Linked DNA regions of Diceros bicornis minor. The protein of the gene in region 3 interacts with the protein of the main gene of each other region in a pairwise test. Links are inferred from orthologs where the notes say so. Each region holds a gene or a part of one and is shown on either strand. Other genes may lie near its edges. The genes, in order: SPRED1, TOR1AIP1, PPP1CA and CSRNP1.

Evidence for each region.
Region 1: the proteins of PPP1CA (region 3) and SPRED1 interact in binary tests that used the Homo sapiens proteins (3 or more experiments, as listed by UniProt). The link is inferred for Diceros bicornis minor from reciprocal best matches to the Homo sapiens genes PPP1CA and SPRED1.
Region 2: the proteins of PPP1CA (region 3) and TOR1AIP1 interact in a two-hybrid assay, tested with the Homo sapiens proteins (2 studies listed by BioGRID and IntAct). The link is inferred for Diceros bicornis minor from reciprocal best matches to the Homo sapiens genes PPP1CA and TOR1AIP1.
Region 4: the proteins of PPP1CA (region 3) and CSRNP1 interact in binary tests that used the Homo sapiens proteins (3 or more experiments, as listed by UniProt). The link is inferred for Diceros bicornis minor from reciprocal best matches to the Homo sapiens genes PPP1CA and CSRNP1.

What each region holds. Positions count from the first base shown.
Region 1 is NC_080744.1:36,357,235-36,364,823, forward strand, and holds the start of SPRED1 (sprouty-related, EVH1 domain-containing protein 1), read left to right. Parts: upstream 1-4,572; 5' UTR 4,573-5,614; coding exon 5,615-5,646; intron 5,647-7,589. UniProt on the Homo sapiens protein: Tyrosine kinase substrate that inhibits growth-factor-mediated activation of MAP kinase. Negatively regulates hematopoiesis of bone marrow.
Region 2 is NC_080743.1:87,166,042-87,173,837, forward strand, and holds the start of TOR1AIP1 (torsin-1A-interacting protein 1), read right to left. Parts: upstream 3,014-7,796; 5' UTR 2,907-3,013; coding exon 2,432-2,906; intron 325-2,431; coding exon 247-324; intron 1-246. UniProt on the Homo sapiens protein: Required for nuclear membrane integrity. Induces TOR1A and TOR1B ATPase activity and is required for their location on the nuclear membrane. Binds to A- and B-type lamins. Possible role in membrane attachment and assembly of the nuclear lamina.
Region 3 is NC_080770.1:6,127,525-6,134,968, forward strand, and holds the start of PPP1CA (serine/threonine-protein phosphatase PP1-alpha catalytic subunit), read left to right. Parts: upstream 1-4,440; 5' UTR 4,441-4,509; coding exon 4,510-4,564; intron 4,565-5,063; coding exon 5,064-5,195; intron 5,196-5,341; coding exon 5,342-5,572; intron 5,573-6,180; coding exon 6,181-6,285; intron 6,286-6,700; coding exon 6,701-6,924; intron 6,925-7,006; coding exon 7,007-7,141; intron 7,142-7,213; coding exon 7,214-7,324; 3' UTR 7,325-7,444. Other genes in the region: TBC1D10C (carabin), read right to left, coding at 1-123, 245-310, 1,014-1,128, 1,322-1,428, 1,517-1,624, 1,850-1,949, 2,711-2,949. UniProt on the Homo sapiens protein: Protein phosphatase that associates with over 200 regulatory proteins to form highly specific holoenzymes which dephosphorylate hundreds of biological targets.
Region 4 is NC_080741.1:41,917,545-41,925,072, forward strand, and holds the start of CSRNP1 (cysteine/serine-rich nuclear protein 1), read right to left. Parts: upstream 3,018-7,528; 5' UTR 2,955-3,017; coding exon 2,944-2,954; intron 2,934-2,943; exon of another isoform or gene 2,888-2,933; intron 1,894-2,887; exon of another isoform or gene 1,779-1,893; intron 802-1,778; exon of another isoform or gene 1-801. UniProt on the Homo sapiens protein: Binds to the consensus sequence 5'-AGAGTG-3' and has transcriptional activator activity. May have a tumor-suppressor function. May play a role in apoptosis.

The DNA.
Region 1 (7,589 bases), on a different chromosome or scaffold from region 3:
ATACTTATCCTTTATACTTTGCATTAGTTTGGAAGAACATGGAAACCCTAGTGATGGAGAAACAGACTCATGCCAGAGGCAAGGAAACTATTTAGAAACATGGTTACCATTTAGTAATTCCCTGAGAGGCAGAGCTCATTAGCCAAGAGACTGGTTACACTAAAAAAAAAAAAAAAAAAAAAAAAAGAAAGCTCATTCATTAAACAAAGTACAGCATGAAAATAGAGTCCCCTTTGATCTAGGCACATATTAACTACAGTTTCAAAATACAAAATTGTAATAACATCTGCTAAGGGGTAATGATAAGAGTAAGTCTAGAAATGGAAATGTGTACATGTATTTTACATACTGTTAGAACCTCAAATGTTGGCATGGCTGTCTCCTCTTTGGGCTTTTCAAGTATATAGATATCTGCTGAGAGCATAATAGTACAAGGGATGGTGTATGTGAAATGCTGAACTGCAGTAGTTTTCCAGTTGCAATAGGAAGCCAGAGGGGCCTCCAAACTTCCATCACAGTGTCAGTCCATCCAGCTTCATTTTTATACATACACAAGGCCTTAGCAAACATTTCACTTAAAAGTGTTTAAAACCACTGTGACGAGAACACCAAAAAATGAAACGCAGCCTCTGCCTTCACGCCACTTAAAATTTAACTGGGAAAATAAACATAAACTCATAAAAAGTGGATTAGCAAAAAAAAAAAAAAAGAGAGAGAGAGAGAGAATTATCAATATAAGCATAAAACAATAAAGGCAAAAAGAATTTGAGAAGACAAATTCTGAGTTCCTAAGAAAGACAGTCACAACAGACTGAGTGGTCTGGAAAGAGGGAGAAAGCCTTGAATTGGAGCGCTACATGCCATCTGCCAGTGCCTCCACGAGGACAGGCCACCTTTGCTGTCCTGGTGAACCCTGATCTGACACCTACCTGGAACCCAGAACCCACTGGTACCATCTTAACTTTGACGATGTCCTATATTGGCTATTACTTGGCGGTTGTGCTGTTGGCCCAGGGATGCTTTCGATAATTAATCATTTACAACAGGTTGTTAAGTGGCTGTGGCTCATTCCTAAAGCTGAGGACAATAGTACTGAGAGCCACTTGCGAGCACCAGCTATGGTGACCAGCCTCCTTCTCACAGACCTACCTGAGGAAACGCAACCGAGCAAATACAAGTGTCTCCTGCCCTCCTGACCCCTGACATGGCCACGGAATCCTTCTCAACTACTGCTCATTGGTAGCTATACCAATTGAATGGAGTTGAAACTTAAAGTAAAACTGTGAACTATATGTACCTTCTCACATAGCTTTTCAAGTCTTATTGGATCCACCTTCCCTAGCTGAACCAGCCCTCTGGCCTTGACCAGTATCTACCTTAGCCTATGATATACCTTGGGCCACCCTTTTCCATGTTCTTCTGGAGCAGAGGTTTCAGTTAGGGATGTGTTTGGGGATGGGATGACACAAGCGGTTGCAAGGAAAGGAGGAGAAGGCTATGAAGGCCTAGAAGGACTCAGTACCTGGCATACTTCTGGAAAAGTAGGTTTGTCAGCACAATACAGATCTGCTGATCACAATCTCTGGACTGGGGCCTAGGAATCTGCATTAAAGGGGTACTTGCCGTGTACTTAAAAAAACCTTTTTATTATGGAAAATTTCAAATAGATACAATAGTAAAGAGAATGTGCTTATCACCAATCCACAACCAATCTTGTTTCATCTATATCCCTACCCACATCCCCCCACTCCTCACTCCACTGGATTATTTTGAAGAAAATATTTCAGTATGTATTTCTGAAAGATAAGGACTTTAAAAAACACAACTACAACACCAATACTTAAAAAAAATTCCTTATTATCATCAACATCTAATTAGTTTTTGTTTCCCCAATTATCTCAAATTTTAAAATATTTGTTCAAATCAGGATCCAAATAAGATCTCACACATTGCATTAGGCTGCTATGTCTCTTGTACCTCTTAAGGTCCAAACACTGGAATAGACCAGGGGAGGCCTCTTGTGTTTAGGGCAGTTGCTGATAGAAAGTCAGACTAGAAGCCCCCTGGGCTCTGATTCTCATCGTAGGACCATTTCTGATGTTTTCAGAGTAGAAGACTCAGTGCTCAGGCCAGACCAAGACAGTTTTTTACAAACTTGGTAAGATCTTCAACAACTGGATGAGATGAGAGAGCTACAGATGCACCTTAAGAAGGGCACACAGGTGTCCTGAGAACGGCATGGGGAATGGTTTGGTGACTGTGTCCGGGTCATGGGATTGGGAACAATCTAAAAAGCATTAATTCGGGGTATTGATCATATCTTGCCCCTTTAGGTAAGCAATGTGTGCGAAAGTGACCAGCACAGTGTCTTCCACATGACAGCCAAGGTGGTTTTCATCTTTTCTCCCAAAGCCTGTAACGGGTCATTTCCCTGATGCATGTGAATCTCAAACTGATGCAAATATTTTCAAAAGAAAAGGAGGCCTTTGCAAGTGACCCAACTTTCCTTGTCCTTACTTAATCATAATGACTCTAAGAATGACCATTTGTTAATGACTTACTGAGGGCTGGGCCATGTGTCTAGCACGAGTGGTACACGGGAGAAAACCACTAGTTATTTGTTGACTGAATGAACAAGGCTACTGAATGCTTTACATTTAAACCTTCAGAGCAACTGCCACCACCCTGTCGCGGCGTTTCTGACTATCTCCATTTTACAAAATCATCGTAAGAGCTAGGACTTATTGAGCTCTTAATCTGTTCTAAGTGCTTCATGTATATTATTACCTCATTAACCAGCACATCAGCTTTATGAATTAGGTACTATTATCCCCATTTTACAAAGGCACAGAGTTTAAGTAATTTGTCTAGAACACACAAATTATGACTGACGGGACTTGACTGAAATCTGAGCAGCCAGAGTGATTAGCAGTAGTAATGGAAGGAGAGCAGGCCAGTACCAACACTCCCAGTTATAGGTTCTTCACAGGAACAAGACCAAAAATGCAGGTTCAGAGGTAACAGAGGTAACCTCTGTCTATTGCAGATCCCCTCACCTCTTCCTGTCACCAACTTTGCCCCTTCTTCCCTTTGGGTATGGACAATGCTGCTGGCAAGACACGAAGCAAGAGTTAAATCAAGAAACCTCAGAAATCAACGGGATGGTTTTTGGGGCAGACTGACTGGTTTAGCTCCTTTATTTATTCATCAAACATTTATTAAGCACCTCCTTTGTGCAAAACACTGTTAACGTGCTAGTGTATGCGCTCCCGAGAACAATCCTGAAACTTCCAGGAGACGGACGGCAGAAGGGGAGTGCTGGCTTGTTTGAGAGGTTCTCGCACTTTCTTCTTCCTCAGGAAATGTTCTATCCCTCAAGGTGGCAGGAGCAGCAATCTTCATTCTCAGGACGCACAAACCTGAGAATGAAGAGAAAAGCATTGCGCACAGAGCTAGACTGATACCTAGGGAGATGCGTCAGAAACTTGGGATTCAGTCCCCCAGGCCCGATCATGTATAGGCTGGCTTTCTAGGTAGAGAAAAGATAATAGAATTTACAGAGCCAGGAGCTGAGTCCTCCGGTCGGGCAGACCCCAGACTCCGGCCCGCAACCCCAGCAGGTTTCTGTGCAAAAACCTTTTGAGATGAATGCATACGTTGTCCTCTAACAATGCAAACGTGACAGCTGCCTATTCAGTAATCGTTCCGCCTCCGTTTAGAGCAGTTCGTGCCACAGAGGCATCTTCTGCGCTATAGTTATGCAACCTCACTCGCAGCGGGAGTTATTTCCTGTGCTTCTGGCTGCGCCAGATTCATGTAACACGCCTACCCCGGGCTTCAATGGAAGTCGTTCTCCATTAACAACCACTCTAGCTTTCAGAGATGAATGCCCTGCACCGCATACCCCTGGTGCAGTAAGAATCCAAGGTATTAAAACTCTGTCTCTCTCTAACACACACACACACACATACACACCCCAACACGCACTCCCGCTGTGCCTGCAGCTGGGGGACTGCAGCAATGCAACCAGAGGGACAGCAGGCGGAGCTCTCTTTGTACAGTCCCTCCCTCTAACCCCCACCAACTAAAGATGAACTCATGCCAGTTCCATTCTTTGCTCTGCAAGGAAAACACACATACACACAGACACACGCGCGCGCGCGCGCGGCAGAACAGTGTAGCCTCCAATTTTCTCCTTGAGCACACTGTCATTCTAGCCTCTTCGTCCAAACAACCCGGATATTCTAAAACGAGTAACGGGGAGTAACGCGCCGCAACAATGCAAGCTCCCAAGCAGCTCCCCGTGCAGCTCACACCCCCGCCCCCTTTCGCAGCGTGCCAAGAGTTTGGAGCGCGCGCACGCACACCGAGCACGGTGCTGGCGTATCCCTCCGCCTCCCTCCTCCTCTCCCCGCTCGGTGGCTCGACAACGATTTGGGAAATGAAGGGAGGAGGGAACTACTTTCCTGAAACTTGCTATGCTGCACACGACTTCGAGTTGCAGTGATTCGCCCGGAGGCCGCAGCTTTTAGTTCTCCTACCCACGCGCCCTCACAGCGCGGGCACCCCGCTCAGCAACCCCACCCCGTGCCCGCTCTGGCCCCGGGGGAAGCCGGCGTCCGGGAGAAGTTGCCAGGGACTACTTCGCCGCCTTCTCCCGCGGGCGCCCCCGGTTCGGGCAGCGGCGGCGGCGGCGGAAGGAGCGGGCGGCGTGAGCGCTTCCGCCGCCCCCCTCGCGGCTCCCCTCTGGCGGGCGTGAGGAGCTGGCCCGCCGAGCTCCGTGCTGGTGGGCACGGCTGGAGGGGTCCTGCGGCCGCTCTGCCCGCTCTCCCGCCGCTTCTCGGCACCCTGCGCCGCGGGCGCGCCCGCTCTCCTCCGGCCCGGGTGGGGGCGGTCGGCTCGCCTGCCCCTGCCTCCCGCTCCCCGCCGCCCCCTCCTCCCTGCTCTGGACTCGTCCGGGCTGGAGCGTGTCTGGAGGAATCCGCCGCCGTGAGGCCCCTCGCCGGTTCGGCTCGTTCCTGAGGACCGCCCCGGTCGCCGCCGGGGGCTGAGCGGGCAGCCGGCGGCGAGGCGGGAGATGGTGGGGTGGGCTCCGGCAGGACCGCGCCGCCGCCGCCCGGAGCCTGGGCTCGGCACCCCCCCGCCGGCCCCCACCGAGCGGAGCTCTGCTTCCTCCTCGCCGCATCCCTGAGGGAAGCGCCGCCTCTGCTCCCGGGTTCTCCGCCCGCCCGCCCGCTCCTTCCTGGCCGGACCCCGCCGCGCTCCACCCCAGTGGCCGGAGGAGCCGCTCTCCAGTCAGCCTCGCAGCCCCCCGGCCTTTTTTGCTTTCCACCCACCCTCCTCGCCTCCTCGGATCCCTTGGCTGGGCGCTGAGGCGGGGGAAAAGGCTGGGGTCGCCACGGCGGAGGTTGTTGCCGCCACCCCCCTGCGGGGGTGGCCGGGGTTCCCGGCTGGGGGGGCACCGTTCCGGGTGAGGCATCCACCATGGTGAGGCCCCTGAGCCGCTGCCCCCGCGCCCCCCCGGCCGCCACTGCCTCCTGCCCCCCGGTGCTGCTGCTGCTCCTCCGTCTGCTGTTGCTCCTCCATCTCCAGATCGGATCACGGTGAGGGAAAGATGAGCGAGGAGACGGCGACTTCTGACAACGAGTAAGCGCCTCATTGATCCTGATTGCTAGCCCCCCGCCCCGCTTCTTTCCTCAGCACTCCCCCAGACCCCTGGAGACTTGGGTGCCGGAAAGCTTGCAGCCCTGGAGAGTTCGGTGCATCTTGTTGTGAAGATAACATTTCATTTCTTGAGCCATTTTATTTAATGGCAGCAAACCCACCCCCCACCCCCCGCGTTTAATTGCTTTCTTCTGGGGGAGGGCGTTGAGTGTTGGGGTGGCATGGCAATTGTCTGTCCAGGAGATGGAGCAGTGTGGATGGATGGAGGCGGGGTGGAAATTACCCCTTTGCCTGGAAGACCCCTGGCCTGTCCTTTTTCTCCTTAGCATACCAATCAACATATCCTGAATATCCGTCCTGCTTCCTTTATAGCTATTTCACTTGGAAACTAATGTGTGGGAGCACCTTCTGCAGCAAACTGCTCTTGAATCTTAATTCGATGAGTCAGTGACTCTTAAATACCGATTAAGCCTCCACCCCTTCCCCCCTTTTTTATACTTAGGACCTGTAAGATTCTTGTAAAAAATGGGGCTAGGGAAACATTTTTAGAATTTAATGGCATTGAAGACACCTGGAGTGTGGGAGATGGCGAACTATTATATTTTACCTTCGCGAATACTGGACGTGTCTCTATCAGGAGCATAGAAGAATTTTGAATGCTAATGTTTATCCTTCAGCTATATTGAAACACACCATTTACGTTGGTATAACAGTATTTACATTGCTGAACAAGTTGATGACTTCATTCATTAACTTCTAGAGCATCCCGGTTTAAGCTTTTGTTTATTTGGGCTGTCCTTATGTTTTTCAAACGAAATACTTTGCCTTTTAAATGTTTTGCTTTAACGTAACAGCTGCTTGGGGGAATAATGATGCGGTAACAGTTTTCTATTGAGATGGGATTTAATTCCGTGCAGAATATTAGCATCCTTTTTCTTGTAATTAAGTTCAAGTTTTGTTTATCTTGGTAGGGTTGGAAAGAGTTAAGTGAGTTAGGACTAGTCCTAGGATGCATTCCTTTAAATAAAGTGCATTCCTCAAGTCTGGCCGTTTAGAGAAAACTTGAAAATCCAAAGCCTAGGCCTATTTAACATAAAATAGCTTGAGAAATGCCAAGTAGCGTTTCTCTTGCCCGCCCCCCACGCCCCCCAACACACTCTTCTCATGAGCGGGTGTGGGAGAAGGTAGATTGCTGCAGTGTCAGTGCAGTCTAGAAGCAGAAGTGGCCGCCATGTTCTCTCTCTTTTTGTGAATCGCCCTCATTTGCATAGCACACTCTTCATTCATAAAAAAATAATTAAACATCCATCACCTTGGACATCTTGAAAGAATTTCCCAAGAAAAAAATTCGAAGCTTGACTCTGTCTTCATGTAGATTTTTGAGTTCAGGAAGTAAGGAGAATTCGAAGTTGTAGGTTAAATTCAAAAACATACGCACACACAAACAACTACCCCTGTTCTCAGAATGTTGACACAGTTATGTGGGAAATATCAGTTCGGGGAGGTGCTGGGATCACGTGATTGCCTCCATTCATAAAATACCTGGCTGTCCATTCACAGTGCAGTACACTGTCTCATTGCCTTCCGCAGATTAGACCTACTTTGAGAGAGATCAAGAAGTATCTCAGATAACGCTGAGTTAGGAGAAAAACTGCTAAAAATCCTGAACGGAATGACGATAGTTTTTCCTGGTATCTTTAAAGAAAGTAGCCTGGATCAAAATGTCAAGTTCTGTTGTAGAGATGGGAAAAGATTCGTTACCATATTTAAAGTAAAATATTGAATACCTCCTTTTTGGATGCAGCTAATAGAAAAGCAAATGAGGGAATGTGAATTGACAGGTGTAAAATATATTGTTTCTAAATGGGGTCTTTTTGTAGTACTTGGCATGGACAAATTGAGAGTGCAAGTTTTTGGTGTAGTGA
Region 2 (7,796 bases), on a different chromosome or scaffold from region 3:
TCATGCATAGTTATGTGAATGAATGAACTAACACATACAAAGTGGCTGGTAATTAGTAGATACTCAACTATCTGCCCAGTCTTTTCTTGACCCATGCCTGTACTGCTTAATTCCATAAACAACCTATGAAGCAGATTCACTGAAACTCTGAATGAAGTATGATTTGGGACCCTTGATGAACTGGCGATAATCTGTACATAAAAAAAAGCTGTCAGGTAAAGAAAAAAACAAAATCACTCTTCTCACCTGGAGTTTCTTGTGTTCTCCAGATAGTTTTCTTTGAGACTGTTTGGCTTACAACAGTATTTGAAGATGGTTCATCCTCTAAAGAATAGACATGAAAATTGTCAAAATTCAGAATATATGATCTAGGTAGAGATTATGCATATTAATAGCAATATATAAGCAGAAATACAAGTAATTCATTTCTTTAGAAATGTGTAATTAGGTTTAGCAAAACTTAAGAATTTAACTAGTCAGAAATACACACTCTTAAGACAATATAAAAATAAACTATTCACCACTGATGTTTTACAACAAAAGTATATTTACTTTAGAAAATTTAAAAGATGGGCTTCTTGTTGTTAGTGCTGTGGAGTCGATTCTGACTCCTAGTGACCCTGTGTACAGCAAAGCAAAACCCTGCCCAGTCTTTTTGGCCATCCTCTCACCTTCGGTGCTGTATCAGACAATGCTCTGTTGTTATTCATAGGGTTTTCATGGCCAATTTTTTTTGAAAGTGGGTGCTCAGGTCCTTCTTCCTAGTCTTAGTCTGGAAGCTCTGCTGAAACCTGTTCACCGTGGGCGACCCTGCTGGTATTTGAAATATCGGTGGCATAGCTTTCAGCATCGCAGCAGCATGCAGCTGCCACAGTGTGCCAACTGACAGACTGGTGGTGTGGTTCCCAGACCAAGAAACGAACCTGGGCCTCAGTGGTGAGAGCCACCAAATCTTAACCACTAGACCCCACCAGGGCTGGCCTAAAAGATGGGGTAGAGTTTCACTAATGATGTGGAAAAAGCAGAAGAGTGAAAAACGTTTAGATTCTTATAGACGTACTAAAATTGAGGTAAAACCTTTGTGTGTTAAAAAAAAATTAGCTAGTATAACTGCACTAGGCTCTGTGGGAGAGTCAATACAATGTAACACATATTTATTGCCTACTATGTGGAAAGCATTCTTCCAGATATTGAAGGAGATACAGAATTAAGGCAACTACTAAAGTATAACAAGGCCCTTCAAATATATATAACAGGATCTGTCTTCAGGAAGTTTATCTTAAAAGAGAGAGAAAACTCATATATATGGGCTAACCTGTCTTGAGTTGTTACATCCAATAGTAACTTACATATCTTTAACACAAAGTTTCCAAAATCAACACATCTTCAAATGTGTCAGCAGGTAAACGTGCAGTCCATTACTCTGAACTGAAAATCTACCTCCTCTTCATATCCATCAACGGTCTACCACTAACTATGTAATCCCATTGTGATTCAAATCCCCTGATTTTTACCTCATAAGTGCCTTACATGGGGCTAACATGCAACTTCACCTATGTGTGTTGGGGGGGGAAGGCAGGGTGGGAGAGGATGGATTAAGGAAGTTGATTCACCTGTGACTTACCTAAAACTATATACCTTGTCAGCATCCTTTTGGCCCATTCAGACGAAAACTAATTAGAGTCGTGCTTTGTCAAGCTCCTTAACCACTGAAGTTACACTGAGGGCCCCCAACGTGGCGAATTTCTGGCAGAGACCACCACACTGAAGAGAGAGCGATCAGCTCAAGTTTATCAGACAATGAGGAGCTTCAAGTTCAGGATAAACGACTTACCCCGTTTCAGGTAAGTATTTGGGTGGGGTCTCAAGTCAATTCACCAATCACGCTATCCCTCCAAACGCCCACTCACAAAATTTCCCCTCCCTCTCCCCCCACCTGGGTAGTGACGGAAAAGGAAGGAAAGGTTACATTAGAACCACGCTTCTCAACTGGGGACTTCTGGCCTCAGAGTTAAAGGAGGAAATGGAAGTGGCTTTGGTAGACACATCCGCAAGAGAGAGAGGAAACCGCAATGAAACCGAGCCTGGAGTGATTCGGCGTCCCGCCTAACTAGCCGTCCCCCGTGAAGGCCCGCAGAACGAGGCAATCCCGACACCCCTAAATTGATGCCTCGGGACGGGCAGAGCTCCGCGGCTCTGCCCAGGCCGCCCCGCAAGACTGCCTGTCCAGTCCTCCCGCCCGAGCCTCTTTCCCGCCTGCGCTTGGGCGGACCCCACGTAAAGGCGCACGTCCAGGGGGCGGGGGAGCCCCGGAGCCCCGGCGGGGATGAGTGCCGGGGAGGAGCCCGCCCGCCCGCTGCACGCCAACATCCCACGCGTGCCCGCTCGCTCGCTGGCTTTCGGCTGAGACCGTTACCTCCGCCGGCCTCACCTTCAGAGGAATGAGAGTCCCGTATCCCTCTCCTGGTCGTAACCGGAGACGGCTGCAGCGGAGGCTGCAGTGAGTGCTGCTGCTGTAGGCGAGTAACCCTTCGCGTCTGCATCTCCTCGGCTTCCAGACGTCGCAGCTGCGTCCGCCGCCGAGACCGAAGGTAGTAGGCGCTTTCTCTCACTTCCTCTTTCCCAGAGTCGGGCCGGAACTCTCGTAGCGGGATTCGTCTTCCCACCGGGGACTTTTCTTTGGCCACCCGGGGCTCGAAGTCACCGTACACTTCTGGCGGCTCTTCTGAGAACCTCACTTCCCGCCGGCCGTGGCGCGACGGCGGAGTTCCGTACGCAGGCGCATTACTGCCGCCGCCATTTTGAGGGGCGAGCCGGCATCTTCTTTCCCGCAGCGGGGCCCTGGGCGTGACGTACCATGCCCATTCTTCCCTCACCGGCTCCGCCCGCCGCCCCTCGCCCGCCATAGTTGTTGACGTAGCTTGAGTCGACCGCGAAGATGGTTTGGGGGCCCCTAGATTCTCCAGCCGTCGATGGCACTGGCTTTTCGGGGCTGTTGGGCGGTGGTCGCGGCCGTCAGGGAGGTAGTTGAGAGTCGCCGGGGCCGCCGCCTGCGTCGTCGCTGCTGTGCTGCAAACCTGCCTCTGGGCCCATGGTGTGTCCTGAGGGCTGTGGGAGAGGCAGTGCCTGTGCTGGGTCAGCTGCTGTGGGTCACTCCCGCCTCCTGGCTGAGGGCACCAAAGAGGAGGAGAAGAGGGAGGAGGACGTCGCTGTCCTTGGCCTTGGAGGAGGGAGGGAGGAGACGACGGAGAAGGGACAACTGACGGGGCAGATTTCCTCTCCTAAGCCCAGCTGCTCGTGGCAACTGTTGCCCGAAAGCAGGAGACGCCCGTCCTGGCGCCCAGTGCCGAGTGTCTGGGAAAGGCCGAGCAAGACGGGGGCGGAGGAGAAGTTTGCGTCCTCGCCCCCTGGCTGTTGCGCAGTTCTCCTGGAACCTTTTTGATGGACTGCTTCCTTAGCCATGCCTCTTCAAGTGTCCCTAGCAGAGTGAGGATAAGAAAGATACTTTTGCAGGTCTTATATCTTTTCTTGGAGAAATTTTTATTTTCAAGCTCCTTATGAAGGCAGGTATCCAGTTTTAAATTTAAGTGACCTGTTGCGAGTGTACAAAATCGTACCTACAGGCATACTCGGGTGGATTTCCATTTGCAAAATGTACGCAGAGCAAATAGGCTCTTATTCTTGGCTTTCGTATAAAGGCTCTGTGCCAGCAGCGCTCTTCGGAAACCTTGTTAGCGCTGTGTTACGGGCAGTGAGAAATGAGCAAATACTTTGCTTAAAGCCGCGCTGTCTTTTAACTTGTGATCCATTATTTTTACTTTGATTCTGGGCATGACTTGAAATACTGCGTTTGATTTAGGGTTTCCTGCGTTTAGTTTACTAAGAAAGCATGATAACTGTTTGTTTCACCTCCGTATACCATAGTTACAGATGTGAATAATCTGCAAATATCTAACCAAATTTAGACACACCGAGGGAAAGTTAAGTTAAAGTCTGAATAGTTACTGAAAAAAAGATTAATGTTACCTTCAAATATACACGCTTGTCTTGCAGGACTTTTCTGTAATTGATTTTAGTGAATAGATTTAAAAACTTGTAACTTATACCAATTACAATGAATGATTTTGTAAAGTTTGAAGGTATTTGTTTATTCTATCAAGTCTTTTAAACCCCTTCTAATGTTTTTGAGCGACTCTTGCTCAAACTAGGCACAGATTTCAATTTAATGAAATATTAAGGTGTACTGTGTTTTCACTAATAGTCTATAAATTTGGCCCCAGACACAAGGAATTACATACTTTAGAGAGTCACCTAGGTTTTAGCTTGTTAGGGATTTAGTTTAGTTTAGGTTTGTTTACAATATACAATATAGCCAAAGAAACTGGAGAAACAGTAACAAGGGAGATGCTTTTTTTCTTTTTAATCATTTATCTTAAGGGAAAATTAAAAGTGTATTCTTCTTTGTCAGCTTGAGTTAGTATATTTGGAAAATTTGTGAGAATTAACTTTTCTGACAAAATGCTGAAGAATATAGATACTTGGTAATACCTGGCTTTTATTTACTTATGTTTTAAGTAAGACTTTCTCTATAACGTGCCTATTCTATTACTCATTATTAACATATAATAGTAAAAGTTCCGTAATAGATGTAATTATTAAAGGATATAAAACCTCATAGTATTAATGTGCAAAGTTCATATTATGTACATTAATGCGTATATTAAGAGCCTCTTTAAAACATTTACCAGGACAAATGACTAAACAGAAATTTGGATACAGACTTGTGAAACTTAAGTTTGGGGTATACTAAAAAAGAGAGAAAGGACAAGAGGTTCTGCATATTATTGAACAATCAGAGAAGATGAGAGGTTCTACGTATTATTGAATAATGAGTACATGTGTTATTTTGTAATTAAAAATGCTTGTAAAGGCTTAGGAATGACTTTCCAAAGAAACGAATCATGAGAATCTTAAAGAAGAATCAGAGGCACGGTAACTGGAACATTAACATGTATATTTGCTTAGGATTTTCCGTCTTTTGTCTAGGTAATAAAACTACATAATCCTAGCTCTGCCATACCTGCCTCCCACACCTAGCAACCTTACAAATACCAACTTTAATAACAAGTGTGAGGTAAAGCTAAACTCTCATCAAACCAGATATTCTGCTGTAGATGTTTTCCAGACTACAAGGGTGGCCCAAAAGAAGTGACATTGCAGAGACAGACTCATAGCCTATATTATAAGGGAATTGCGGAGCCACTAATACGAAGAGGAAAATACTAAGAGGAGCTCTGGATGTTAGACAGTTACCTTGGGAATTTGAGATACGTGGAGGAATTCAGTGAATCGAAAGAGAAGACAGTTAAGAAAGGAAATGATTGTAAGAAAGAATACATTGATGTTAATAAATATATGAATTAGTGAGTGTATTCTTTACCAAGATGTTTAATAAATATATGAATTAGTGAGTGTATTCTTTACCATTAGGGAATTTGCCATATATTAGGTAGGAGAGATATACTACAAATTATAATTTAGATTAAATGATGCGTTAATTTATATATCTAGCTGTTAGGCCTAACTCTTGACACTGGATTTCTAAATAAAGCAGCTATTTTAAATGAAACATTTTATTTTAAAGTAATAATTTTTGTACATGAGTTTTTTGTTTAGAGTAGGCAGAAATACAATTATTTACAGATAAAGCACTGTCAATTTATTGTGCATAATATGCACATTTCTGGTCAGATAGGGAAATAAATAACTGGGGTTTTATCTTAGTAGAAAGAGGCAACATTGTTATTTTTAATAAGGAAAAGATGATTAAAATATTAGAGGAAGTAAATTAAAGACATAGTAGTTGGCTCCATTTATTCCCCATTCTCACAAGTGACAGAAAAAGTATTTTAAAGACTTTATACGAATGAAAATGTGTAGCTGGAAATGTTATACTGAAATTAAGAAAATTTAAACTCAGTGAAGTGAATGGAATATAATAAATATTCTTCCGCTTATTCTCTGTTGAATTAGAAATTGCAGTCAATTATTAAACATCATCTAAGAGTGTTTCCAAATCCTGTGACTTCTGCCAAAAGAGGATGATTGAGAGGTGGAGGCACTGATACATGAAGAATCATTTATCCAATAAATATTTGAGTTTCTGCTGTGTACAGTCAGACCATGTTGTAGGTGCTGGAGATTCAACAGTGAAAGAATAGACCAAAGGCCAAAAATCCTCCCTGCCTTCTTGGAGTTTATATTCTATGGGAGTCAGATAAAAAATCAAAATAAGTAAAATAGTGTGTTGGTCAGAAGTGTTACGGAAAAAAATGAGGAAAGGAGAAGTGAGATTTTGAGTAGATTTCTTCTATATTGTCTTGAATTGGTGTAGGTCGGGAACAGAAGTTTTAGATTTACTTAACTTTGCCCCTAGCCAATTATGTGTTCTTGGGTAGATTGCTTGCCATCTCTCCGTTTTCACATTTGCGAAATTACTAGATCAAAATAATAGCTACTCTTTATTCATCATTTACTACTATCATTTAGCAGACACCGTTAAGTACATTAGCGCATTTCCTCACAACCACCTTATGAGGTACGTAGCGTTGTCCCCAGTTGACAGGAGCAAACTGAGGTTTAGATTAAGCAACTCGTTTGAGGCCAAGCACCTAGTAATGGTAGAGGCCGGGTTCCAAGTGTGATGTCTGACTGGTGCTTGCCATCATCATTGGGTAGTGCCTCTCACTGTGTTGGTTCCATGGGTTCTTCCAGCCTATGCATTCTAGATCATTGTAAGGGTTAGGGTCGTCCGATGCGCTGCGGAGATGCCTGCTTCCCGTCAGACAGCAGCACGGGAGCCGGGACGGGTGGTTCTGCTGCGCGCGCTCACCACGCCTCTTGCTCTGGCGGGGCTGGCTGCGGGGGAGTGGAGAGACGTGCGTGCGGGCGACTGGGGAGGAGGAGGAGGGGCCGGGCGACTACCAGTCCCGGCATTCCGCGGGCCCTCCCCGCCCGGAGGTCACCGTCACGTCACGTGGACAGGCACAGGGAATACGTTCTGTTCCGCCGCGTCGGAGGGGTGCAGCCTCTGGTTGTGGGGCAGAAAGAACACGCGAAGGGCTCCGCTGACATTGACAGTGGACGGTTTAAAACCTCGCTAGGATTTGTAAGTAAACAAAATGTATATACAACCTTTCCATGTTTTAATGTTTGATCTGATATCTGATTTCGAAACATCTTTCAGAAACGATCCCTCCCCACCCCCACCTCCCTACTGCAAAAACCCTAAGCGGAGCAGATTGGGGGTATATTTTTGTTTTGTAGTAAAGAAAGATAAACAGAACCTTATAAACCTTAACACTAAGATGGGAATAAATGTTTGGTTTGGACTTTGAGAAGGGAAGCAGAATTCCTATAAGGCTCAGAATGTAAACGGGGAATCAGACTACCACTGTAGGTGGTGATTACTTCCCTTTACCTCTGCCAGACAGGATCCCGTCTTTGGTCATCTTAATCCTTATGAGATAGTACCCCCCCCCTTTTTTTTAGCTTTAGTGGTGCTAAAAAGGGCAAAGTTTTGAAGTTTTAGTAAGATTCTACAATTACCATTTTTCTTACATATTATATATGTATTCCCGATTGTATTTCATACCCAATGAGAGTTTACCCCTTTTTCCTTCCTTCACGGAAGTGTCTAGCTCTCTACTTTATCAGTAGTGCTTAATTGTTAGACTTTATATGCAGATGCAGAAGTGTTATCTTAATCTGCTTCAACATACTGTTTTTGTTTCATT
Region 3 (7,444 bases):
CAGGAACCACTCGGGCAGGTAGAGCAGGGGCCCGACGCCCACCTGCTGCAGGTGCTTGTGCACACGTGGGAGCAGCCGCCGCAACAGGGCCGTGAACACCTCAGCGTCCAGCTGCACGGCCTCCTGCGGCCAGTCCGTCAGCACCTCCACTCCCAAACCTCAGGCTCTGTCCCCTCTGTCCCGGGCCCCCACCCGCCTTCCCAGCCCCTCCTCCTGTACCCTTGGTCCCATCCCAGCCTCTCACCATGTGAGGCCCATAGTAGCCGGGGAGGTAGACCTCGCAGATCTGTACCAGGCACCAGAAGGCCTCCTGGGGGCAGGGCACAGGCTGTGAGTGCCCACACGAGGGGACTGCAGGGCAAGGGAAAGGGGCAGAGGGGAGGGCCTAGACACCATCTGGGGTGACTCTGGAGCCAGGAGCATGGACTTACTGCAGGGGGGGCTCTTACCAAATGCCTCCCCCGTGCCCAGACAGAGGCCTACCGATGGGTTTAAGGGGTTGGAAATCACAGGGCTCAGGGTGTTGAATTTGAGGGTCACAGGGTTGGGGTTCACTGGTCAAGGGTTGGGAGGGTCTCAAAGTTCAAATCCTGGCTCCTGGGGTTATTAGGGTCAGGGATCACAGGGTTCAGAATCGGGAGTCACGAGGTGAAGGTGATAATGCCAGACTCCTAGATCACTGGGGTAAGGGTAGGGGTCAAGGGTCCCAGGTTCCTGGAGTCAAGGTGGTTGGGCTTGAAGAACACTGAGGTTGGTGGTCATGAGGCCCCAGGTCACTGGGACAGGATCTGGGAGTCAAGGATCCCAGGTCCCTGAGGCCAGAGTTCCTGGGGTTGGAGGTCATGGGCCCAGGGCACAGGATTACAGGGTCCCCAGGTCCCTAGGATTGGGGATCAAGGGTCTTAGCTCCCTGAAGTCAGAGTCCCTGGGGTTGGGGGTCATGGATCACTGGGTCCCACTGGGGCTGAGGGTTCAGTGTCTCAGGTCTCTGGAGCAGGGTCAAGGGCACTCACCTCCGGGGGCAGATGCATGAGCAGCACAGCCGCCACAGGGCCCTGGGCCTGGCAGTAGCCCTGTTCAGGCCGATACAGGGTGTAGGCCTTGAGCACTTGCAGGAGCCCCTGCTGCCTGTGCCAGAAGACCCATTTGGGGCCAGTCCTCTGGGCAGCCCTTCCCACCCTCTGGCGGCCTCTGCCCAGGCCTCAGCCCCCTGCGCCTTGCTGGGTCCCCTGAGATGCAAGGCTATAAAGGGGTGGGGGACTAGGCCGACGTGCCTGGGGGTTGTGGGGCTGGGGGTCCCTGAGCATCACTGGCTTCGTACCCGTGACCCTGGGGTGACACAAACATCTCGTGCAGAGGGAACTGGCGGTGCAAGTCCCTGCCTATGGTCTCCATCCACTGTGGGTCTCCAGGGGCCTCAGCCAGTTCCTGTGGGTGGGCAGGAAGATGAGTGTGAGGGCTCAGAGCGGCGAGGGGCTCTGGGAAGGGGAGGCAGGACCCCTGCCACCCCCCTTACCTGATAGGTGCCAGGGCTGTTCTTCTGACACACATGGGCCCCACACAACAGGGGCCAGCAGCGGGCCCGCAGGGCTGAGGGGATGCCTTTCCGGCACTGCATCTTTACCTGTGGGTGAGGCCAAGGGGCCCCATTAGGCCAGCCAGGCCAGCCTCACCGGGCCGTGTTGGCAGGCCCCAAGCACAACTTGTCATTGGGCAGGGGCCCACTTTGGGTGGTAGGGAGAAAAGGCAGGAGGTGCTGGGACACAGGATGGGTAAATTTTGCTGGGGCAGGGGCCGAGGCAAAGGGGAATGAGCCGAGGAGGCCTGCGTGGGGCCACTCTCCCCTCACCTTCTTGTATCGCCGAGACATGGTTTTCTCCCAGTGTGAGGTCATCTCCACCCACTTCATTTCCCGCTGGCGGATAAGGTCTGCAGGAGGGTGACTTGGTCTGGGGGCACATGGTACAGGCATCCAGGTGCTGGGTAGCTGTTACCTAGAGCCCATATCTGCCACCCTCTATGGTACTTGGGTTAGCCCAGGTCCTGGCCCTGGAGATCTCTGGGGACCCCTGCAGGGTGATCTGTCACCCAAGAGTTGCCAGTAGTTGTCATGGGGACAGGAAAGAAAGTGGCTCCCATGTGGGCAGAAACAGGAAAGACTGAAGGGGGTGTGTAGGTGTGTGTTGGGGGAGGGGCTGGTTGGCTGTCCCGCATGATAGGGACACAGACAACTCACAGGGGAAGCTGGGTGGACAGAGCCCCGGACTAGAAGCCAGAAGCCCCGAGTTTGAGTCTGGTTCTGGCTCTGATCTGCTGTGTGACCTTGGGCAAGTTCCTGTCTGTCTCTGGACTTGTTTTCCTGTCTGTATATTGGGAAAGGGTGAGGGTGGGAGAAGAGGTTCTATGATTTGGATCTGGGATTCCTGGGCCAGAGATTAAAAGGGGAAGGGTCAGCCCTAAGGGTGGGTGCACACCCTCAGAGGCTGGCGGTAAAAGAGATATACAGGGACACCCTACCCACAGTATACAGGGACACCCTACCCACAGTCCTGCCACCCTTGGGATTCCACCTGGAGCCTGAGGAGGGGTGGCACTGGCTAAGTTCCTAGATCCTTCCAGGACCCTTGAGGTTGGGCCTCACTCTAGAATTCAGCCCTCAGCCCTCATCCTCAATCCCAGCACCCCAGCACCCCATTCCTGCCCCACTTACCCTGGCTCTGCCGAGCTGCCCCCGATGAAGCCATAGCGGTCAGCCTGGCGGTATGGGCCGGGCCCACTCAGCTCTGAGTCAGACCCCAAAGAACTGGAGTCATCCTGCAGCTCGCAAGGCTGCACCAGGTCCTCCCCCAGGGCCTGGGCCATGGTGCCCCCGGATGCCACAGGCTGCAAGACGTGGGGAGAGCCAGTGTGAGAGGTAGCTCCCAGCCAGCCTGGGGCCTGGGCTCCCATCCAGCCAGGTCCCAGCCCCAGGGCCTGGCTGCAGCATCAGAGGGGGGAGATTTCAGGGTATTTCACCAAGCCCCCTCTGTCCCCTCTTCTGTTGCGGGGGGCTGGGCCCTAAAGTGGCAGAAAGTCCAGGCCTCTGTACAGGAAATAGCCCCAGGCCCAGCCCCTGTCCTCACCAGCCCAGCTTACCTCCCGGTAGCACCTCACCTCCTCCTCTCACTTCCTCCTCAGCCACAGCTTCAGCAACCCACTGGGGGGCCCCTCCCAAGGGTGTAGAGGGGGTGTCACCCCTTCCTCTCCGAGGCTCTTCCGGCCTGCCCCAGTGCCCCTGGGCCATGGGCTCCTCCCACCCTCCCCATGGGCTGGGTGGCTGCAGGCTTGGGTTTCTGTGCTGCGTGTGATGGGGCCAAGGCCTGCAAGAGGCAGAGAGACCAGGCCACCTCCACTTTTGAGGTTACTGCCATGTAAAACACTCAAATCAGGGTTCCAATAAGAATTATGGTTTTGGGGCCGGTCCTGTGGCGTAGCGGTTAAGTCCGCGCACTCCACTCCGGCGGCCGGGGTTCGCAGGTTAGGATCAGGGCGTGCACCCACACACTGCTTGTCAAGCCATGCTGTGGTGGCGTCCCATATAAAGTAGAGAAAGATGGGCACGGATGTTAGTGTTAGCCCAGGGCCAATCTTCCTCAGCAAAAACAGGAGGATTGGTATTGGATGTTAGCTCAGGGCTGATCTTCCTCACACAAAAAAAGAATTATGGTTTCTTTAATGTTTATTCTTTACGAAGTAATACTTTTAACACACACACAATGCAGCATCATTATGCTACTCAGAAGGCAATGATGGGACTTATAAAAAGTAATAATTAGTGTGCACCACAGGCAGTGTGGACCAAAATGGGCTCGCAGTGCTGCGGCAGCTGCCTGGGTCTGCTCAGCGCCTGGGGGCCAAAGAGACTCACGAGGTAGAGGTCCTCGGTGAATGCGAGGCCCCGGTCTTGGACCAGCCCCTCGCTATATCTGAAGCTGTTTCCTTTTCTGCACTTCGAGGACTTAATCTGCAGCGTTCGGGGAGACCGTTATCATTGTGCTCACACCGCCCCCTCGCCCAGAGTAGGGGTGGGAAGGACTGTTTAGCTTTTGAAAGATAAAAACAACTTCCACAGTACTTCCGGCCCCATATCCTCTCTAGGGGCCTGGGTGATCCTCAGGGGCGGAGCCAGACTCCACCCTGCCCCACAAGGCCCCGCCCACCTACCAGGCCCCGCCCCAGAGACGCCGAGCCCGGCCCAAGCCCCGCCCACAGCCGAGGCCCCGCCTCCCGGGCTGCTGCGCTTGGCGTCCTGCGGAGGCGCTAGAGCGCTGGGGCAGCGGGCGGGGCGGGGCGGGGCGGGGCGGGGCGGGGCCTCGGTCATAGGACGGGCGGGGCGGGCGGCCGAGGAGGCGGGGCGGCGGGCCGGGGCGGGCCGGGATGGCGGAAGGAGCTCCAGGCCGGAAGGAGGCAGCGGGAGGGCGGGAGGCAGGAGCTGGCCCGGAGCTGCTGGGCCGGAGCGGCGGCGCCGCCATGTCCGACAGCGAGAAGCTCAACCTGGACTCTATCATCGGGCGCCTGCTGGAAGGTTGGCCGGGGCGGGGGAGGTCGGCGCCCGCCGCGCCCTGGCCCCCTGCCCGGCCCGGAAGTGGCGCGCGGGCGGGCCTGCCGCTCCCAGGGCCAGCTTAGACTGGGCGGGGACGGGCCGCGAGGGCCGCGGCCGCCCCCCCACTGGCGACGCGCCTAGGAGGTCTGGGGCCGCTCCGGCACGGGGAGCAGCCCCCTCTTCTGGGCCAGGGGCGCACGGGGTGGCTGGGGCTCTTGGGGCGAGGGTGAAACGTGAGAAGCCCAGCCCCCCAGGGAGGGGTCCTGCGCTATGGGGTTTGGGTGGCAGGCCCCTGCGCACAGCAGCCCCCTCGAGTGACTTGAGGGTAGTTGGGGTCCCGTCCCGGGAGGCTCAGCAGCAACAGCTGCCCCTGGGCAAGGAGGGGCCTGGGAGCCTCCAGAAGTGCTCCTGGGGCCACCCGTGTCGCCCACCCTCCTCCTGCCTGAGGGGCCAGGGTCCTGACGCCCCATTCCGCCCCCAGTGCAGGGCTCACGACCTGGAAAGAATGTACAGCTGACGGAGAACGAGATCCGTGGTCTGTGCCTCAAATCCCGGGAGATTTTCCTGAGCCAGCCAATTCTTCTGGAGCTGGAGGCGCCCCTCAAGATCTGTGGTGAGCCCCGTGCCCAGGCTCCTTTGCTTCCTGCAAGTGGCATTGGCCCCTAGAGTCCCTGGATCCCTTTTCTTGAGCCCAACCCTGGCCCTGGATTCAAGTCTCTACCCTGCACCTAGTGCTGACCCCGGTTCCCTGGGTCACAGGTGACATCCACGGCCAGTACTACGACCTTCTGCGGCTGTTCGAGTATGGTGGCTTCCCTCCAGAGAGCAACTACCTCTTCCTGGGGGACTATGTGGACCGGGGCAAGCAGTCTTTGGAGACCATCTGCCTGCTGCTGGCCTATAAGATCAAGTACCCCGAGAACTTCTTCCTGCTCCGTGGGAACCACGAGTGTGCCAGCATCAACCGCATCTATGGCTTCTATGATGAGTGTGAGTGGGCTGGGTGTCTGGGGCTGCCCAAGTCCTGAAGAGCTCTCCCCGCTATCCAGTGGGGCCCTCACATTGTCCTGGTGGTAGGGATATCAGTGTCTGACAGACACCTGCTGGACTGCGAGCTCCGTGAAGGCAGGGCCCTGCCCTCCTGGCCTGGGGCCTGGCACTCGGGAGGGGTCTGGTGAATGGTTGCTGACTGAAGAGCTGACCATATTTTCATGCAGGGCCCTGCCTGCTAACACTCCCTCCGGCACATCCGTTACTTAAGCACATAGGATGCCTATCTGGACTGGACTCTGTGGGCCAGAAGCTGAGATAAACCAGACCTGGTCTTGGCCTGGCCCTGCTCCTGCTCACGGGGTGGGTGCCAAACCTGAGGTTGTTCCAGATTGGAACTCTAGGTTCCTGTGCACTCAGCTGCTTTAGAATTCCTCTTAGAAGGCTGGTAGGCAGTGGGGTGGGGTTGGAGGTTTCCCTTCTTGCCTTCCACTCTCTTCTCCCAGCTGTGTCTGAACAGCCCACGAAGTGCCTGGGAGGGCCCAGAGACCCAGGCTGAGGGTCAGGCAGACAGGCCTCCTCATGAGCCATCTCCTTACTCTGGGCAGGCAAGAGGCGCTACAACATTAAACTGTGGAAAACCTTCACCGACTGCTTCAACTGCCTGCCCATCGCTGCCATTGTGGATGAGAAGATCTTCTGCTGCCATGGAGGTGAGGGCGGCTCTGGGGTACCTGCTGAGGGAATGCTTGGGGAGGAGGAGCCTGGCCACATCCCTGGGGGCCTTGGGATGAAGAGAGTGCCTGGAACAGGTCTCCCTGGCGTCTGGGCTCGCATATCCCTTCTTCCAGGAAGTCCCCCTGCACCCCAGTGTTAGGCCGCACTCGCTCCCCTGTTGTGGCCTCAGCATCCAGCATGGAATTCACTTGTCTCCTTTCTCCAGGGAGCTGTGTGCTCCCTGAGGGCAGGGACTTGAAGAGGCAGGTGATGAGTTCTGCCTGCCTGGGCTCCCAGGAGACAGCCAGGTGGTACGGGGGAGGCAGAGGCTGACTGCACATGCTGTCTGGAGGAGGGGGTCCTTGTTTTGAGGCTTATTTGAGGAAGCGTCCTATGCTCTGCACCCCCCAGGCCTGTCCCCCGACCTGCAGTCGATGGAGCAGATCCGGCGTATCATGCGGCCCACGGATGTGCCTGACCAGGGGCTGCTCTGTGACCTGCTGTGGTCCGACCCTGACAAGGACGTGCAAGGCTGGGGCGAGAACGACCGTGGTGTCTCCTTTACATTCGGGGCTGAGGTGGTGGCCAAGTTCCTGCACAAGCACGATCTGGACCTCATCTGCCGGGCGCATCAGGTGGGCTGGCAGCTCTGGGCCGGTGGGAACGGGGCCTGGGCAGCCAGCACCTGCTGAACTAACCGCCCCCATCCTCCTCCAGGTGGTAGAAGATGGCTATGAGTTCTTTGCCAAGCGGCAGCTGGTGACACTTTTCTCAGCTCCCAACTACTGTGGCGAGTTTGACAACGCAGGCGCCATGATGAGTGTGGACGAGACGCTCATGTGCTCCTTCCAGGTGGGGCTGGGGAGGAAGGGGCTGGTGGTCCCTGGCGTGGCCCCGTGAGCTGACCAGCTTTGTCTCTCTTAGATCCTCAAGCCCGCCGACAAGAACAAGGGGAAATACGGGCAGTTCAGTAGCCTGAACCCTGGAGGCCGGCCCATCACCCCACCCCGCAACTCCGCCAAAGCCAAGAAATAGCCTCGGTGTGCCCGCCCTCTGCCCCAGATGGTGGATTGTACAGAAATCACACAGCCGTGGGGCGTCACACTGGCTCCCCAGGCCTACCCATTATGGGGAACGCGGAGCCTTGGTGTATTT
Region 4 (7,528 bases), on a different chromosome or scaffold from region 3:
TGGGATTGGCTGGAAAAACAGCCTAGGCAGCCCAGAGAGCACAGACACACCCCTCCCCCACCCATCCCTCTGAAAGTGATCCTGGGGGAGGGGACAGTTCCTCAGCCTTGGCCTCCAGGGCCTGGCACTGGGTAGGTGCCAAATGTTTGCTGGCTATGTGAGGCAATTGCTTCTGCAGAAGGGAAATTGCACCTGACAGTGACTGCTTCCTGCACCTAAGCAAGGCCTCCTTCACTCTCATCATTCATTCATTCATTCATTCATTCATTCAACAAATACTTATCGAGCTCCTATGTCATGCCAAGCACTGTGTCAGGCACTTGGACACACAGGGAGCAAGTCAGACACTGGTGCTGCCCCCTTGAGCTTTGAGTTTAGTGGGAAGGAGTATAATCAGAGTTACAAACCAGTGTTGAGTACTGGGATGGAGGGTGGGAGGGGTGGGGCAGGAGGGGTACAGCTGGCAGTGAAGACAGGTCTCTCGGAGGAAGGGAAGTAGGAAGAGTTCCAGAGAGGGGGCAGAGCAGTGTAAGGGATTTGAGCTGAGAGAGGCAGAGTAGTGAGGGGGGAGGGGAGGCCTGAGAGGGGGCTGCAGGACGCCAGGGGTGACAGGGCAGGCTTTAGCCTGAGGGCACAGGAAGCCACAGAGGGTTTAAGTAGGGAGTGACAATAACAGATTTGCATTTTAAAAAGATGGCTCAGCAAGGGGACTGGAGGGGGTGGGAAGGGGTGTGACCGGTTGGACCGCACCGCCAGAGCTAGGTGAGAGATGACAGGACAAGGGCAAATGAGAAAGGGGAATGGACTTGGTGACTTCTGGATGTGGAGACCGATGAGGGCAGTGATGTCAAGGATTTGGTGGTGAGGTGATGAGTTCCGTTCCAGAGAACTATGAGACATCTGAGTGGAGGTGTCGGGTGGGCAGCGGGCCCAGGAGGGACCCTCTTGTGTCAGGAGTGTGCGCTACGTGTGATTGTGCCAGGGAGCAGGAGTGACTAAGTGTGTGAGGGCTGCTGTCGTGTGGGCATCTCAACAGCCTACGGAAGAGCCCCCGGGGAGGGGAAACTGAGGACCAGGAGGAAGTACGTGCCGGGGAGGGGAGCAGCGCGTGGGAGAGAGCCTACGTGTGCCCGCGGGTGGCCCGGGTAGCTGCGCTCGTGACTCACAGCGGTGGCCTCTGCGTGTGACGGTGACTGACAAACAGGTGAGCGTACGACACAATCCCTCCCTCCCTCCCGGGGTCCGTGACTCACGGAGCTTCACTCCTCGCTCATCCCTCCTCTCCCTCCCTGACCCCTGCCTTGCCGGGGGCGCCAGACACGCGCCACAGCCCCGGCACCCGCCCCCGGGGGGAGCCCGAGGAGGAAGGCGACAAATGTCACCTGCTCCGGCCACGCGAGGAACTTCTGAAAAGTTCTCAGACAACTGGGTCAAAACGAAACTCACCCGCGGACGCGCGCACCCCGTCACCCCGCCGCCCGCGCGCAACCTCGGCTCGGCCGCCCCCCACCCCGAGCTCGGGGCCGTGACTTCTCGGGGGGACCGGCGGCGAGGCGGGGGAGGGGAGCGGAAAACCTGTGACTCTCGCCTCCCGGGCTCCCAGCCCCGGACTCCGGCAACGGCGCTCAGGCTGTGGCCAGGCTGGGTTGTCCCCGTCCCCGCGCCCGCGCAGGGGGACGACGGACAAATGGCAGGGGCTGGAGGGGCAGTGCCACCCGCGCAGGACGTCCCCTCCCCAAGGTCCCATCCAGCCGCGCCCGGAGCCCCTCAGCACTCACCTGCGATCCTGGCGCTCACCAACGACACCGACGCGACTCGCGTCCCGCCCGGGGACGTCCCCCGCGCCGCACCCCTGCGTTCGTTCGGCCGGGCAGCCGTCGGCCCAGCCGCCCCGAGCTCTGCGCGTCCGGAGCGGCGGCGGCGGCGGCGGGAGACTGGCTGCGCCCGGCCCCGCCCGCCGCTCCGCCCCCCTCGTCAGTGGAAAACTCCGGGGCTCACGGCGCTGACGCACGCCGGGCCTCCCGCCAGGCCGCCCGGCAGCCCCGCCCCGGAGGCGCCGCCTCCTCCCCCGCCCGGAGCCGGGCGCCGCGGCCGCGGGGCCTCCCTACGGACTCTGACCCCGCGACGGCGCCTCGACCGCTCTCCGCCCTCGGCCCTCCGCCGCCCTCCCCCGTCCCCTCTCCTGCACTTTCATCAAGTCGCCGACGCTGCTAGCCAGCAGAGCAGGGCCGTAAAGATCCCGACCTAACCCCAAGACCCCCGTTTGCAGATGGGTAGACTGAGGCTCGGAACAGCGCAGAGCGTCCTGAAGGCCACCGGGCGAGAAGGTGGCAGTGCCGCGGCCGCCTACACGCCCTCACCCCCACCCCGTCCCAGGCAGTTTACTATAATACAATCTACAAGTTCCCTCCTCCGCGCCCTCCCTACCACCCACCCCCAGAGCCGCCTGAAAAATAAACTATGACTGGAGAAGAACCTGGGGTGGGGGATGGGGGTGAAGGCAGGGGGGAGGGGGAGGAGGTCATCTGTGGGCCTGACCTTCACCTCTGCCCACCGGCCAGAGACCCTGCAGAAGCCCTGAGCTAGGAGTTCTTGGAACCAGCTTCCCGCCACCCCCACCCCACCCCATCCGTCTCTTAAAAAAAAAAAAAAAAAAAGGCTGGTTTCTTCCGAGCCAGACCCTGGCCACTTAAGATGGCCCACTGCCTTCTCTGCTCCCGCCAAGGCCTTTCCTGACTAGGGGCCAACTCTCCCTGTATTACGGCGCAGGGGAAAGTGTGCAAACCCTGCAGCGAGTCCTGGCCCAGGAACCCACCCTCCGCCCTTCCTCCCAACGCTGGTCCAGTCCTACCCACCACGTGTCCCTGGAACGTTTCTATCCTCACACCTTTGCTGCAGCCGTTGCTCTGGCCTGGAATCCCTTCCTGCCCTCTCGCTGCTTACCAGAATCCCATCGCCTGGAAGGACTCCGCTTGCACTGCCTCCTCCAGGGAGCCTTCGTGGGAGCCTGACCCTCCCCCTCCCAGTCCAGCTCCCGCTGCATTCTGGGTTCTTCCCTGACTGTCCTAGATGAGTGCTGTCAGTGACTAGCCCAGCCCTCTGGATTCCTTTCCACCTTCCTCCAGGTGGGGGTGGGGGTGACCTGTCCTGCCTGGATGGCGCCTGGAGTGGAGAAGATGGTGAGGGCCCTTTTTCGGCCACAGGTGTGTGTGTAGAGGGGCCAGTAGGGGTCTGCCTGCCCTTTGTCTTTCCAGGTAAGAACAGTGGAAGGAAAGCAGATTGGGGGAAGCTGCATCCCCTGTCCTTTCTGGATGCCTTGAATGTGTGGACCTGGGGGGGCTGTCAGGGAGAGGTGTCTGGACAGCTGGAGCCAAGCCTCCAGTGACTTCCCAGTGCCCTAGGATGAAGTCTCAACTCCGTGGGGCCTACAAAGCCAGAGTAATCAGGCCCTTGCCCACCTTTGCAGCCTCGCCTCTCTCTCTGCATGTTCCCATCCCACCTTCCCTTCCCTGCTCCTCCATTTTAATGTCTTTAATGTGTGTATGTCTCTTTATTTGTACATTGTACATGTGACGTTGGTGCAGCATATGTAGTTTTAATTTACACGCGAGGTATTCTGTTCTATATCTCTTTAAGTTTCTTCCAGCCTGACCTCTACACTCCCACCCTACGTCCTTGATAACTACACTCCAGCCTGTTTGCCAGCAGTCAGTTCTTGGGGGTGTGTCCTGCTCATCCTGGTTCAAACTTCCGAAGATGCTGATCTCCAGCCTGCACCTGCCTTGCACCCACTTAGTCGTATGGTTTACTAGTGCATTTCCTTGTGTGTTGTCTGTGAGCAGTGGGAGGGCAGGGGCTGTGTCTGACAGTCCTTAGTGCTTGGTAAGAACTTGTTGAATAAATTAAATGTACCTAGTAAATGTGTACAGGGAGCTGGGGCTCAAGGAGAGGGCAGGGCTGGAAGTGGAGATGGAAGGGTCATCCGCTACAGCGGATACACTGAAGCCATAGGCGTGGCTGAGACAGCTCAGGAGGCTACAGAGCTGGATGTCAGTTGCTAGAGGTGACTCAGCCCTTAAGGCTATGATGGCGGGTGGCCACCCACCCACCACCCCCTCAGACACTCAGCTGTGCTCTCCCTGTGGTGGCTGGTTGCAGACCTTGCTGGTCCAAAGGAATTCTTTCTTCCACTGCCTCCTTCCTACCTCTCATCCTCTGGCCAGGTCCCCAGGGGAAAGGGGGGTCTCTGTGACCTAGAGTGGAGTTCTAGTTTACTTTCTCTCTCTCTCTTTCTCCTTCAGTCTTCCAATTGGAAAAGTAGGGGCATTGGACCAGAGAACCTCACCGGCTTCAACATTTCTTGAGTTACCTTCTAGAAGATGCTGCCTGCTGATCAGGGAACTGGGCAGAATTGAGCACTAGAGTTGATGAGGGTCTCTCAGGCTGCCTAGATTTGCGTCCTGCTGGGCTGTGTATTGGGGAAAGCAGACAGGACAGAGAGCGGGGCCGGGAGTTGGTAAGAGCTGGAGTGGAGGCTTAGAGCAGGGAGCCCAGTGGGTGATGGGATTTGGGGGGCAGGAAGAGAAGGAGAGAATAAAAGGGAAAATATAGGATAATAAAAAGAATCAAATAAGTGATGTGATTTCTCCAGAAAAGCATCTCCCTGTCCTGGGATGGGCTCACCAGATGTTCCCCAGATGTTGCTGGTGATGGGAAACATCTCCCTCTGGGATCCCAACTAAGCTCTTTCTGTTGGTGGGGAAATGAAGGGTCTGTTCCAAGGCAAGGAGGGTGGGGTCTGGAGCAGCCTCCATCTGTGACTTGGGCACATACATAGGCAGAAACACACCCACACATCCTCAGGGAATTTCTGAATGCTTAAGAGAATCCAACGAGTTTCTCAAACATTCAGCATCCATGGACCACCCATTTTAGGTAAATAAAAGATAGTTTTAAATAAATATTTTTAAAAATTACAAATTGTTGATGCATTCCCATCAGAAAGACTAAAATTAAAAGGACAAATTAAAAAAGTACCAAATGTGGCAAGATTAAGAATTAACCAGATTTATCATACATTGTGGGTGGGAGGGTAAACTGATACAATCAGTTTGGAAAATAATTGGGCAGTACCTACTAAGGCCAAACACAGATAAACTCTATGATCTTGTAATTCTACTCTTCAATATATACCCAAGAGAAACAAGGTACTTATGTCCACCAAAAGATATATGAATGTTATAGCAGCTTCACTCATAACAGCTTAAAACTGGAAACAACCTCAAATGTCCCAAAGGTGACTAGAAACAAATTGTGATTTATCATATAATGGAATATTGCACAGCAATGAAAAAGAACAAGTGATTGCCTCATGCAATGACAGGGCTGAATCTTAAAAACATTATATTGAGTAAAAGAAGCCAAAGACAAAAGAAGAATAACTATAATTCCATTTATTTATATGAAGTTTAAAAACAGGCAGAACTTAATCACAGTGATGGATAACATTATCTTTGGGAATATTGACTGGGAAAGGCCACAAGAGGGCCTTCTGGGGTGCTGGAGATGTTCTATATCTTGATCTGAGCAGTGGTTGGACAGGCACATACGTATGTAAAAATACGAATTCTACACTTAAGATTTGTTCACTTCACCTTATGGAGGTTTTACCTTGATAAAAGGAGGTGGGAGGGGATGACGATCGTAGTGCCTTAATTGTGAAAGGGTTGCTGTTGTTTTCAGCCTTCCCAGTAAGTCTATGTCCTGGCCAATGAGGGATACCTGGGGCTCATAGGTCAGGTTCAACTGTTTAGGTTTCTCTCCATCTAAATTAGTGTAACGGGTAAGAATTTTATTCCATCGTGATTCCTAGGTGCAAGGAAGTTTTTATTTTTTGCATCTAAGAGCTTTATAGTTTTAGCTCTTATATTTAGGACTTTGATCCGTTTGGAGTTAATTTTTGTATATGGTCTAAGGTCAGAGTCCAAATTCATTATTTTGCATGTGAAAATCCAGTTTCCCCAGCACCACTTGTTGAAAAGATGTTATTTAAAATCAAATCAAAGCAGCTGATTCCCCAGGAGAACTTCAACCTCAGTCAGCAGGGATACTCTCCCATGTGCCCCCTCCAAGGCTTATCTGAGGAATGGGGATGCTTTCCCCTGTCCAGGATGGCCCAGCTCTCTGATTTTCAGTCCGTGTTGTCTGCTCACAGGTAATAAGGCCCTATCCAAGCCTATGGATTCACTGAGAGTAGGTGGTGGGCTCTGCTATTTCTGAGCCACCCTTCATTGTGAAGAGGAAAGGAAGGAGTCTCTAGTGAGGCTGGGAGCAGGGACTAAGGTCTTCTTAGGAGGCTCAAACATCCATCTCTGGACAACACCACCCCGCAATCTCCTCCTCTCCCCAGTCCTGGGGAGAGTCCTGCTCCTCTCCACCTTGCCTCTTCCTCCTTGCCCTCAAAGGAACTCACCTCTCCAGGCCCCCATCTCTCCCCCTGCCCTAGTCCCTGCAACAGGCTAAAGATGTGGCTCCCAGATGAGCAGCATCAGAATCACCTGAGAACTTGTTAGAAATGCAGATTCTTGGGACCTTCCCAGACCCACTGAATCAGAAACTGGGAGTGGGGCCCAGCAACCTGTGTTCTAACCAGCCCTTCACTGATTCTGGTGCACATCAAAGTTTGACACCCAGTGAGCTAAGGCCTTGGAAAGCAAAACCCAGGAAAGAGGACTGTTTTCAGGCACATTTCTTGAACCTTCTCATTTATGTAAACTGAAAGACATTTGAGTGTAGATCTGTGGATTAAAAATCTGAGCAGTTGAGTTCTGGGTCAAAGGGTTTTGACAGATGTTACCAAATCACCCTCCCAAGAGTTGCACCAATTTCACTTTCAGCCAATGGTATCTGAGCAGGCCTATTTCCCAACACCTTCCCTGGCAATGGGTATCATCAAACTTATTGATCTCTGCCACTCTGATAGGAGAAACAAAGAAGAGATCTTACTGTTTTAATTGGCATTTCTCTAATCATGAGTGAAGCTGAGACTTTTGTAAGCCATTTGTGTTTCTCTCTAAACTGCTGGTTTACATTCTTTACTGATTTTGTATTGGGTTGTTTTAAGTCTTGGAGGATTAAGGAGATGAACCCTTCTGTCTGTCACACATGTTGCACTTACTCCCGGTTTGTTTTTTACCTTAGTTTATAGTGTATTTTACCAGACAGAAGTTTTAAATTTTTACATAGTCAAAGTTCTTAAACATTTACTCTAGGAATCCTGCGTTTTGTGTGCTGCATTACCTAACATGATATTACGCATAAATTCACCTATTCTTTTCTCCAGAGTTTTATGGTCTGATTTTTAATGTATAAATCCTTTATCCATTTGGAATTTATTTTGACTTAAGGAATGGACTAGAGTTCCCACTTTGTTTTTGCCCCCAAATGATTAGTTAATTTTCTTATCATCTTTCTCTTCTAATTTTAAGGTCACCTTAAATGGAAATTGAATTCTCATGTGTACTGGGGT